Linked DNA regions of Rattus norvegicus. The protein of the gene in region 1 interacts with the protein of each later gene in a pairwise test. Links are inferred from orthologs where the notes say so. Each region holds a gene or a part of one and is shown on either strand. Other genes may lie near its edges.

Evidence for each region.
Region 2: the proteins of Morn4 (region 1) and Nutm1 interact in binary tests that used the Homo sapiens proteins (3 or more experiments, as listed by UniProt). The two-hybrid records come from large-scale screens. The link is inferred for Rattus norvegicus from reciprocal best matches to the Homo sapiens genes MORN4 and NUTM1.
Region 3: the proteins of Morn4 (region 1) and Septin6 interact in binary tests that used the Homo sapiens proteins (3 or more experiments, as listed by UniProt). The two-hybrid records come from large-scale screens. The link is inferred for Rattus norvegicus from reciprocal best matches to the Homo sapiens genes MORN4 and SEPTIN6.

Annotation. Positions count from the first base shown.
Region 1 is NC_086019.1:250,837,880-250,841,529, forward strand, and holds part of Morn4 (MORN repeat-containing protein 4), read right to left. Parts: intron 2,665-3,650; 5' UTR 2,637-2,664; coding exon 2,570-2,636; intron 1,961-2,569; coding exon 1,846-1,960; intron 1,276-1,845; coding exon 1,166-1,275; intron 1,002-1,165; coding exon 853-1,001; 3' UTR 1-852. UniProt on the Homo sapiens protein: Plays a role in promoting axonal degeneration following neuronal injury by toxic insult or trauma.
Region 2 is NC_086021.1:119,508,561-119,512,210, reverse strand, and holds part of Nutm1 (NUT family member 1), read left to right. Parts: intron 1-461; coding exon 462-601; intron 602-1,038; coding exon 1,039-1,313; intron 1,314-1,583; coding exon 1,584-1,700; intron 1,701-2,108; coding exon 2,109-3,650. UniProt on the Homo sapiens protein: Plays a role in the regulation of proliferation. Regulates TERT expression by modulating SP1 binding to TERT promoter binding sites.
Region 3 is NC_086039.1:121,068,157-121,071,806, forward strand, and holds part of Septin6 (septin-6), read right to left. Parts: intron 1,906-3,650; coding exon 1,710-1,905; intron 1-1,709. UniProt on the Homo sapiens protein: Filament-forming cytoskeletal GTPase. Required for normal organization of the actin cytoskeleton. Involved in cytokinesis. May play a role in HCV RNA replication.

The DNA.
Region 1 (3,650 bases):
AGAGTCATGAGTCAAATGGAGCTCACACTAGGATGGATCCAAATCTTTGAACACGCAAGGGACAATGAGTGTGATCATGGTACACTGGGAAGGAATGCTCTCTCAGTGCGATTCCAGATCATTTCACAGATGCCCGGATAGGGTTGCCCTCTGCCCCGGAGTGAGTAACAAATGTGGGCCATACGTTTCCTTCACACTAGTTTCTTACATGGCTTTCTATAAAGGGATCCTGTCTGACATCTAAGGGAGGAGAGAGGCACAGAGGGGGATTGGGCTGTCTGCTGTAACTCAGGTAAGGAGGAGTCAGGTAAAGCCGAGGGAGAAGAAAACCACACTCTTACACTGAGGAGGGATAAGAAGACACAGAGACCAGCCCAGAGCCAGGCCTCCAAATGCAGTGAATGAGTGGGTAACACCCAGAAGAGCTCTGGCCTGGGCTTCACAGAGCTGCTGTGATTTATGTCACTCCTGTCTTTCTCTGACTTCTTCAATGGCAGCACACAGGACTGGGATTATCTGGGTGGAAAGAAGAGGCTCCCTGTGGCTTGACAGCAGATGGAGAGAAGGCCACAGCACTGGGAAACCCAAGGTCCTGGGAATGACATGGCAGAGGGGCAGGCCCTGTGCTTGAGCGCATCAGGGCCAGGGAGGACATAACCGCCGTAGGGTCCTGGGGCCAAAACCCTCCACTCTTGCCTGCCACTGAACTCCTGCCTGGCAGGGGACAGAGCACCTCTCAGGCTGTGACATCAGGGTCATTCTCATCTCACTTCCGGTTCATTTGTTCACCTCGCACGCACACAAGGGACACCACTGCTTTACAGATACTTTCCGACTGCACCCAGAGCTCCGTCAGGCAGTGAGGTTCCTGGCTGACTTGGAGGCGCTCTGAGCCCGCTGAACCACGGCGGAGCACTTCTCACGGCGCAGAAGTTTGTTGTTCTCAAACAGGCCTTCATTGCGGGGTAGTCCATGAGAACCGTCTGGGAAAGTCAGCAAGCCTGTGAGGAGGACAGAGGGGAGGACGGGTCAGCCTGACACGCAGAGACTGGAGAGGAGGAGAGAGTTTCAGGCATGGGCACTGCAGATTGCTGGAGAGAGCCACCGGAGAGTTAAGACACAGGAGCATTCCACCTATGTTCCATTCTGCTGAGCCGAAACTTACCAAAGCCATCCACTCTCCCATTTTTAAATTCCCCCTCAAAGGTCATGTTGTCATATCGAATGAAGACTCCGACACCATTGAACTTGCCCTGGGAAAACTCCCCCTCATACCTGCAGAGAGACCAAGAGGTTAGTTAGCCTTCAGTGGGTACGTTGGCTGTGTGGGGTAACTGAGGCGAGCAGTCGTCCGTGTGTCTGTCAGTCAAGGTGAGCTCTGTGGTGGAGCTCATCTCATAACTCTACCAGTGCCACCTAGACCAGCATGACCTGAAATTCAGGATACTCTCTACTCTGCCTCTCCAGTGCTAGGACTACAAACATTCACCACAGTGCCTGGCTCTGACATTTATTTTAAAATAACAAAGGCAGGCAAGATGGCTTAGTAGACAAAAGAAACCTGTCCCCACACTTGATGACTGAGTTAAATCCTGGGGACCCTCATGGCGGAAGGGGAGAACTCACTCCTCACAAGCACTGTGGCACATCCTTCACAAATAAAGAACACAGAGAAATAAATAAAGCTTAGTTTCAAAAGAAAAGGAATCAAGAAAAGAACTGCTCATCCCTTTTCTGTTTCCTTTAGTGCCTGGGCAAGCTCAGGGTTGGACAGACAACCACCAGGGCTCATACTTGTATCAGAGTCTTGCTAGTTCAACGACGGAGGAGTGACTTAATACTTACCTTGACCCATCTGAGAAGGTCAGTACCCCAAAGCCATTAAAAAGCCCATTCTCAAAGTGACCCAGGTAGGTGCCACCATCAGCAAACATCAGTTGACCAAAACCATGTCTCCGGCCTGAGCAAAGAGAAGGACAGGCACCAGGTTGGAATGGGGGAGCTTCCGGGTCCTGTTCTCACTGGCTTAGCAGCCCACACTTTCCCACAGCCTTACCCACGAAAAGCTGCCCTTCGCCCCTCTTTAGTGTGGAAAGGCCTTCGTCCTTGGGTCAGTTTCGTGGCTTGCTGGGACTGAACACTGAGAGACCTTAAGGTGGCCAGCTTTTCTTTCCAAACTGAGCCATTAAAGTGCTTGTGCTGCCGTTTCAGCAAAGTCACGGCTCCAAAGCGTTTTGTTCTTCCTAAGAATTTAGGATCACTTCCGCTGTCAAAAGCTGTCACAGGAGTCAGGGAAGGAGTGTCACTTGTTTTTGAGGGTTTTCACTAATTCTCGAATCCTGAACTCTCTAAACTGCACCCAAAAGAATTTAATTGGCTCTTCTGGGCACCTCATATTTAAGACAACAGACTGTGTCCAAGCACTATACATGAAGGAGTGGGAAGACTGGATTCATTTCTAGTTCCTTCATTGAGCCCTGACATAAAGGAAAGGTTCTACGTGGAGCTGAGTCCCGCAGTGGGGACTGAATGGCGCCCTGGAGTTGGCTGCCCCAGGGCAGCTTCTCACCCTCTTTCCACTCGCCGCGGTATTCCTCTCCACTGGAGTAGGTGAAGGAGCCTTTCGTCAGGGTCATGGCGGCAGCTTATAGAAGAGGATGCCAACTATGATAAACAGAGAAAGCAGAGTCATGGGATGGCGAGAGGACTAGAGGCTGAGCTCCGGCAAGTGCACATTTACCTCAAGTACAATCCTACCTCAGGTCACTTAAAATGTCCTCCTCGCCCCCCACCTCCACCTCGGCTAAAGCGCCCTCACCCCTTCCGTTTTCAGCCAGTTCCTGTTTCCTGTGATGGAAATGGAAGCTAAATCTACAGATATTTACTTGACACGTGCTGTGTTCTGTGGATGCATAAACAGAGTCCCCTCAGGGAAGTTATAATAAGGTCGGTAGGCTCAGCAGGTGAAACACCAGGCTATACCAGGGACAAGGTAATTCTGTGTCAAGTACAGGGGTGAGCAGCCCTCAGCACAACTGTGGTGCACATCTGTAATCTCAGCAGACGCTGCGGACCATGCATTCAACGTCATCCTCAGCTATGCGGACCTGCCTCCACATAAATCAATGGGGGAAAGGATTAAATGCAAAAGCAAGCAGCAAAGACAGTAAGAGAGCAACGGAAACACAAGTTATCTGGTCCGCTTAGATAAGACGGCTTATTTAGGGTGATAGAGACTATACACAGAGATCTTGAGCTGTTAAAGAACCACACAGATGTAATGCAAACTCCTTTGTGTTACAGAGGAAGAAACACAAGCTCAGAGTGGTTAAGAAGTTTTTTGGTGGTGCTGACAAGATGGCTCAGTGGTTAAGCGCACGTGTTGCTCTTGCAGAAGATCCAGGTTTCATTCCCAACCTCACATCATGTCTCACAACCATCTAATCTCCAGTTCCAGGGGATCCAAAAACCTCCTTCTGACTTCCACAGGTACCAAGTAAGCACACAGTCCACACATAGACCCACAGGCAAATCGTCACAGACATAAAGTTAAAAAAAACAAAGCCAAACCCTAAACATTACTCATAACAAAGGTTTTGTTGGTGCCTAAGCAAGGGATGAGCACACAACCCTCCCTGACTATGCTGGCC
Region 2 (3,650 bases), on another chromosome or scaffold:
GCTGCCTGGTGTCTGTGTTACTGATGGGATGGATTCTCCTTCTCACCACAGTCTGTATGCTTTTTATTTAAATGCTAATAATTTTATGTGCACTGGTATTTTGCCTGCGTGTATGTCTGTGTGACAGATTTTAGAGTTACAGACAACTGGGAGCTGCCATGGGGGGTGCAGGGATTTGAAGCACTGAGCCATCTCTCTAGCCCTGCCCGTTCCTTCTTTTATTTATTTTTTATTTTTTTATTTTTTATTTTTTTCTTTATTAACTTGAGTATTTCTTATTTACATTTCGATTGTTATTCCCCTTCCTGGTTTCCGGGCCAACATCCTCCTAACCCCTCCCCCTCCCCTTCCATATGGGTGTTCCCCTCCCCATCCTCCCCCCAGTACCGCCCTCCCCCCAACAATCATGTTCACTGGGGGTTCAGTCTTAGCACTGCCTGTTCCTTCTTTACCCTCTGCAGGTTCATGGAGTTTGAGGCTGAGGAGGAAACACAGATACAGAATGCACAGTTGATGAATGGCTCCCCGGGTCTGTCCCCTATAGCTCCTTTGAAACTTGATCCTCCAGGGCCCATGGTCCCTGAGTCTTGCCAGCAGCCAGGTAAGGCTACTCACAAAGCAGATGAGGATTAGGAAAGGCCCTATTTTTGCTGCGGTCTTTCCTGGAAGTGGCACTGCATAAGCCAAACAATGCCCCACAGGGAACTGGGGTCTTGGCTCCTTTTGTTTGGATTAGCCACGACCTTGGCCACGTACACTAACTACTCTCTCACCTAGGTGGTGCATGAGCCCTATGTTTTATCAGCCTAAGACATGGGGTTGATCAGGTGGTTTCTTGGAATGTCAAAGTGTGTGGATTTAGCCTTTAGAAAGATTTCTAACAGTGTTCTTTCTCATACCCTCCAACTTTTATGTTTTCTCCCCCAAAAGCTTGATCCTATTCTGGAACCATTTCCTGAACCCAAATTTCTTCTCTTCCAAGTATCACTGGGAAGTAGATACCAAAGCATCTTTCCCACTCTCTATCCCTGCCCTCAGTGTACATTCCAAAGAAGGCAGCCTCTAAGACACGGGCTCCCCGTCGGCGGCAACGCAAACCCCAAAGGCCTCCAGTTCCTGAGGCACCCAAAGAGATCCCACCTGAAGCCGTGCAAGAATATATTGACATCATGGACGGGTTGATGGGGAACAATGTGGACACTGGGAAGACAGAGGAGGAAGAGGGGCAGCAGGAAGATGCAGGGATGTATCCCGATCCAAGTCTTCTGAGCTACATTGATGAACTATGTTCTCAGGAGGTCTTTGTCTCCAAGGTGAGCTAGGTCTACATGGCTAATTTCTAATAAATATTTAGGGACTCAGCACTAGGGGGCATCAGCTCTCTGGGGTTCTGCATATGGCAGAAGCCTCCATTCTACAATCTGGAAATAGGTATACATGTGGCTGATGGTAAGGACCACCACCAATTTCTATAGCACACACCAGGGTGAAAGTGGAAGCATGGGTCTCATAGCTTTGTCTCTAGAGCAACTGGGTTTACAAAGTACTTCTCAGTGAGATTTACACCACTCTCTGTTCCCCAGGTGGAGGCGGTCATTCACCCTCAATTTCTGGCAGATCTGCTGTCCCCAGAAGAGCAGAGAGATCCTTTGGCTTTAATTGAGGAGCTAGAGCAAGAAGAAGGACTTACTCTTGCCCAGGTAAAGTTGGGAGGCAGAGAACGCCGGGCAAAGGAGCTTGGCTGATTTTGTATAACCCTTTGGTATCCTCAGAGTGTTTTTAGAGGATTTAGGGTTGGGCTCTGGGTCATATGAGGGCACAGAAATCAGCATTTGAATAACACAAGGACAATCTTCACACAGTGCACGGAAGTGTTATGCCTTCAGTCTAGAACAAGTAGGTAGGGGATTATGTGAACAGTTTACAGATGAGGAGAGGCTCACAGCAGAGGCAGGAAGCTCTAAAACAGAAAGAGCTACAGTATCTATCTTTGATACCCTCACTTAAAACACTTGCTTTTCTCCCCACACTATCTACCATCTCCTATCACCCACTCAGCCACCTCTTCTAACCATGTATAGAACTGGCATTTGTCCATTCCCTTCCAGCTGGTCCAAAAACGACTCCTGGCCCTGGAGGAGGAAGACGCACAGGCGCCTCCGAGTTGCAGCGGAGCTCAGTCAGACTCGAGTCCTTCTGTTTCTGATGAGGATGAAGATGGGGGTCAAAGGCGTCGACCCTCGCCTGGGCTTCAGGGGGCTGCGGGTATTGTTCGCATTGGAAAATCTGCTTCTCCAGGCAAGCAGGCAAGGGAAATGCATGGTGGGCAGGAACAAACACTAGGTGGTCCAAGGGGGGTTCACAAGGATGGAAATAGTCTGCCATCCCCTAGCAGCTGGGACCTGCAGCTAGAGCACACAGCTTCCCAGGGAATGCAAGTACCCTTGGGTATGGAGAGAAAAGGCTCTGGGAAGGCTATAAAACAGCTACCTGCAACTCAGGATGGCCACCCAGGAGGTACAGGGTCATCTGGGCACTACCCAGTAGCAGACAGGAATCCAGAGGTTATACCTTTTTGTTGGCAAGAGGATCTCCAACACGTGAGAGCCTCCAATTTGGATGTTGGACATATAGAGCCAGTTCCTCTGCAGGGACTTGGGTTAGAAAAACAGGCTTTGGTGTTGCAGATAGGACAGCAGATTGGGGGAGCTGGGATGCTTACTAAAGGAAGAGAACAACCTTCAGTGGTTCCCCAGAAGGGCTCTTCAAGAGCCATGTGGGGAGATGACAGAGGTCCTGATGTGGTTCAGAGTTACGGTCAGAACCATTCCCCTGGAGCAGCTGGCAACCTAGACGTGGTTTCTCTCACCCCAGGACTGTGGCTGAGCAGTGACATGGAGGCTGTAGGCTTAGAGTTTCCCTTACAAATCGAAAATGTTACAGAAAGCATCCGGGATGAAGCATTTAAAAGGGAGGACCAGGCCCCAGGTTCTAGAAACAGTGCCTCTCCAGGTACTAGGAAAAACAAAGTGCCCAAGGATGTGGGAAAGAGCATGATTCCCTGTGGAGGCACAGATAAAACAACTGTCCCAGAAATGAGAAAGTCCTGCAGCTTGCCGGGACCTTTGATGGCCAGTGGTCCAGGTTTGAGGTCCAAAGAAAAGCAAGAGCGGAGCCCTGAAGCCACACAGAATCCCAGTGACCTGTGGGCTGAGGCTTGCTCCCCACTGCTGCAAACACCTGACCCTTCCACACTGGGGTCCTCCAAAGACACCCTGGTACCCACGTGCCAAGGCACTCTTCTCATTGTTGGGACCCAGGATGCCTCCTCTTTCCCCGAGGCTAGCCAAAAGGCAGACAGCAGGGGTAATCTACTTTTTCCTCTGTTGGAAAACATAGAACAGGTCAAATTACTAGATGTTAGAAATGACAGTGGCCCCCAACCAGGGGTCTGCAAGGACTCCTGCTCATCAAATTTTAATTCTTTTAACCCCCAAGGAGAGTGCAGGGAAGACACTGTTTCCTCCAAACCCACTGACCTTGTTCCTTTACAAGGCAACCGGGAGTCTTATACACATGAGACAACCAAATCGACATCTGGCCAGGGCCAGGGCAGAACTTCCCCAAGGTGGGGAACCAGGGAGGCTTTG
Region 3 (3,650 bases), on another chromosome or scaffold:
ACATGCATCCCCGAACTCCTCCAGCTTTTTCTGGTTCTCTCTCTTCCCCTCTGCTTAGACTTTCTCTCTTTTTCTTTCTTTTTTGTTTTTTAAGATTTATTTATTTATTTTATGTACAGCAATTCTGTCTGCATATGTGACTGCAGACCAGAAGAGGGCACCAGATCTCATTACAGGTGGTTGTGAGCCACCATGTGGTTGCTGGGAATTGAACTCATGACCTCTGGAAGAGCAGTCAGCGCTCTTAACCACTGAGCCATCTCTCCAGCCCCTGCTTAGACTTTCTTAGTCCTTTTCTACAATCCTTTCCTCCATCTGCTGACCTTACGGACACCCTGTGGTTCCTGTGTTTAACACAGCATCCTTCTTGCTCTGATTGCCGGATGATCTTACGTATGTATGTGGTTGGAACGTATCATCTGCCTGTGCCTAGACCTTCTCTGGACTTGTGACTCTGTATGGTCAACTACCTATTGCTGATGTTATCCTGCATGTGAATATTCTATACATAGCTCAAAATCTGAATGCTTTGTTTCTGGTATTTTAAAGTCTAGTTCTTCTATATCTCTCAAGGGGGACCATCATAATTGTGTTACTCCCCAAAGCCAGAAATTCAGATTTCTGAATTTCTGTTCTATATACTGCCTTCACAAACCCCTATGAAATCTTTACTAGGATTTGTCAGTTTTACTCAATATTTATGGACTCCATCTCCGTCTCCCTATCTCAGCTCCTATGTATCTTTTGCCTCAATTTCATTGGTCTAATAGTTTCCTGATTGGTCTTGCTTACCCAGTGTATCTACACACTAGCCCATAGGATTTATCCCAAAGGCTAATCAGGCAGCATTCTGCTTCCTAGAACTTCGGAATGGTTCCATATTTGTATATTCTATAACCTTCCAGGAGCTGACCTCCATTTGTCTCCCTCCCTTTATTTTTAGCCCAGAGAACATTCTAGGTTTAATGGGGCCTTATGCTTACACAAGTCACTGAACAACCCTAGAATAAGACTATCTTATAACTAAAAGCTAGTTACATGGCTATACATGGGAACCCCAAAGATTAAAGTTCACTGCTTTCCCAAGAAGCCTGCCTCTCTATCTAAACATGCCACACTGCGGTTCTCTAGACCACACCTGAGTTCTTTCCTTCACTTTGCCTTTGAAGAAGTGGGCAGCTTCCTGGATTGCCTTTCTCTCTCATCACCTGTCTGTCTGGCCAGTCCTTCAGGAGTTAGCATAGAGTCTCTCCTGGGAAGGCCTCTCCGCTTTCTTCTCTGCATGGAATTGACTGTTCTTGCCCTTGTGGTCTCATTGCAATCTGCCCTTCATCTCTTTGTACCCAGTCCTTCACAGAACATACTGGTCTCTATGGAAATTATTTGCTTAAGCAAAACCTTTCCCGTGAGTGTGTCAAGAGCAACGATAAAGCCAATCCTTCGTAGGTTGTTAGAGTACAGGAGGACCTGGCACAAGGATGAACGGAATCAAGAATCCACTCACGTGTATTACAAAGACACCCTCCTTTTGGCAAAGTATATGAAGTGGCACAGTTATAGAGAAGGACCCCACGATGATGCCCTTTTTACAAGTTGCCTGCCCATATCACTCTAGTGGGCCCCACAACCTGTGTTCTCTCCAAGACTCCCATGGTAAGTTCCTTTTCATGGTTCCTCCATCCACTTTCCCATTTCACTTCTTTTGTTACCTGTCCTCCTTGTTGATCTGGTCCCCAAAGCCTACAGTGCTCACAATTGTGAGCTTCAACCCCACATTGCTCTCCTGGAGGTCGTAGGTACTGGACCGGAGCTGAACACCTGGCTGTGTGTGAGTCGTTGGCTCCCCTTCAAACTTGGTGTTGAACAGGGTATCCATGAGGGTGGACTTGCCCAAACCTGTCTCCCCTGAAAGGCAAAAGACATCAAGCGATGACTATGCAGCCATTGTGCATCATAGTTCACAGAAGTGAAGAGCTGCACAGAAGTACGCACAATATCAAGTGTCAATTATGTGAAAAAGGAAAGCAGCGACATGCCGGCAGCAGAGAGCTCACAATACTAGAGAATTGGGCTAATTTCCATTTTTGTCTTCACAGGTTTTTTTCTGTTACTTGAATCTTTACCTTGAGCACATACTGCTTTTAGAGGCAGAGAAAGAAATGCTATCCATACAGATAGAGGGCTATAATTATCCCTAGAAGGAGACCGTAGAGGGCTATTAATACTTATCTATGACTGGTAGCCTTTTATATACAGTTTTCATTTTTTCTTCAGCTTTTCTGTGTTTCCTAAGTAGAACATGTAAATAAATACCAATCGTCAAATAAATACCCACTCCTCTCATCCTCCAGCCGCAGGTTCTCCCCAAATAGTGCTCAATTCACAGATGTCATATTTTAGTCTCCCACAAGGGAGACTGAACCTACTTTTGGCTTCTCCCAGCCTAGATGACCTTTCAGGGAAACCACTTTGTATTTTTTAAAAAGTTTTTTTGTCTACCGAGGAATGAACTTGAGCTGCAAATTACTCTTCTTAAATTTCAAACAGACCAGGCATTTGTTTGCTTAACTAACATGTTGGCTGTGTGACGCTAATAAATCCAACCACTAGAATTTTAAACTTGGCCGATAAATGGGGCCAGGGTTATGGTGGCCTTTTGGTAAAGGTTTGGGGAGGTTATTCCTGGGACACTAGAGGACACCAAACCACTGCCTCGAATCAAGGAGTCTTTGGAGAAGACATCACCCTCAGGAAATCGAGAGATGTTGGTGACATGGGCATAAGCAGGAGTGTGATAGGAAGCCACAGCTGGGCTAGGCACTAAAACCACTTTTAATCTCTGTGGATTTGGATTGTATTTGGCTCCCCATCCCACCCCAAGGGAATAAGAAATACTAGGAACCAAAAGGCTACAGTAGCTAAGCTGGAGATGTAGCTCAGCCAGTACAGTGTTTGCTTACTAGAGTTGAAGCCGTGTCTGATCCCCAGCATTGAAGAAACGGAGCAAGGTAGCACACACATCTATAACCCCAGCACTCAGGTGGTGGGGGCAGATAAGAAGGATAAGATCAGCCTCTGTTAAATCTCCAGTTTGAGACCAGCCTGGTCTTTAAGTCAACAGCTAATGAGAGGCTGGACATGGTGGTGCCTACCCTTCCTCCTAGTACTTGGGAGGCAGATATCTGTGTTTGAGGCCAGGCTGACCTACATAGTGAGTTCCGGGACAGTCAGGGCTATGTAGAGAGACCCTGTCACAAACAAAGTTAATGACCCTGGACTATTCTTTGAGCACTTTTGACCACAGTATTCCTTTACTAGCATCGTCTGTCTTCTTTCTACCCCACCCCCCACAACCAAGGAGAGACTATGTGACCTTTGATTTATCCTCATAGTTGGGGTTAGGTTTACTCTGGGTAGTTCCTGGCCTGGCAAATCTTCCCTTAGGACCAAGTACACATTTGCAAGTGTATAGAGCTGGATGATAGGGAACCAAAAATGCTTCCTCTTTCCCCACTCTCTCAGTGTATATATATAAAAGAAGCATATGCCTCCTTTATCAGTGTATATATATAAAAGAAGCATATGCCTCCTTTATCAGTGTATATATATAAAAGAAGCATATGCCTCCTTTATCCTAAACACTGACATAA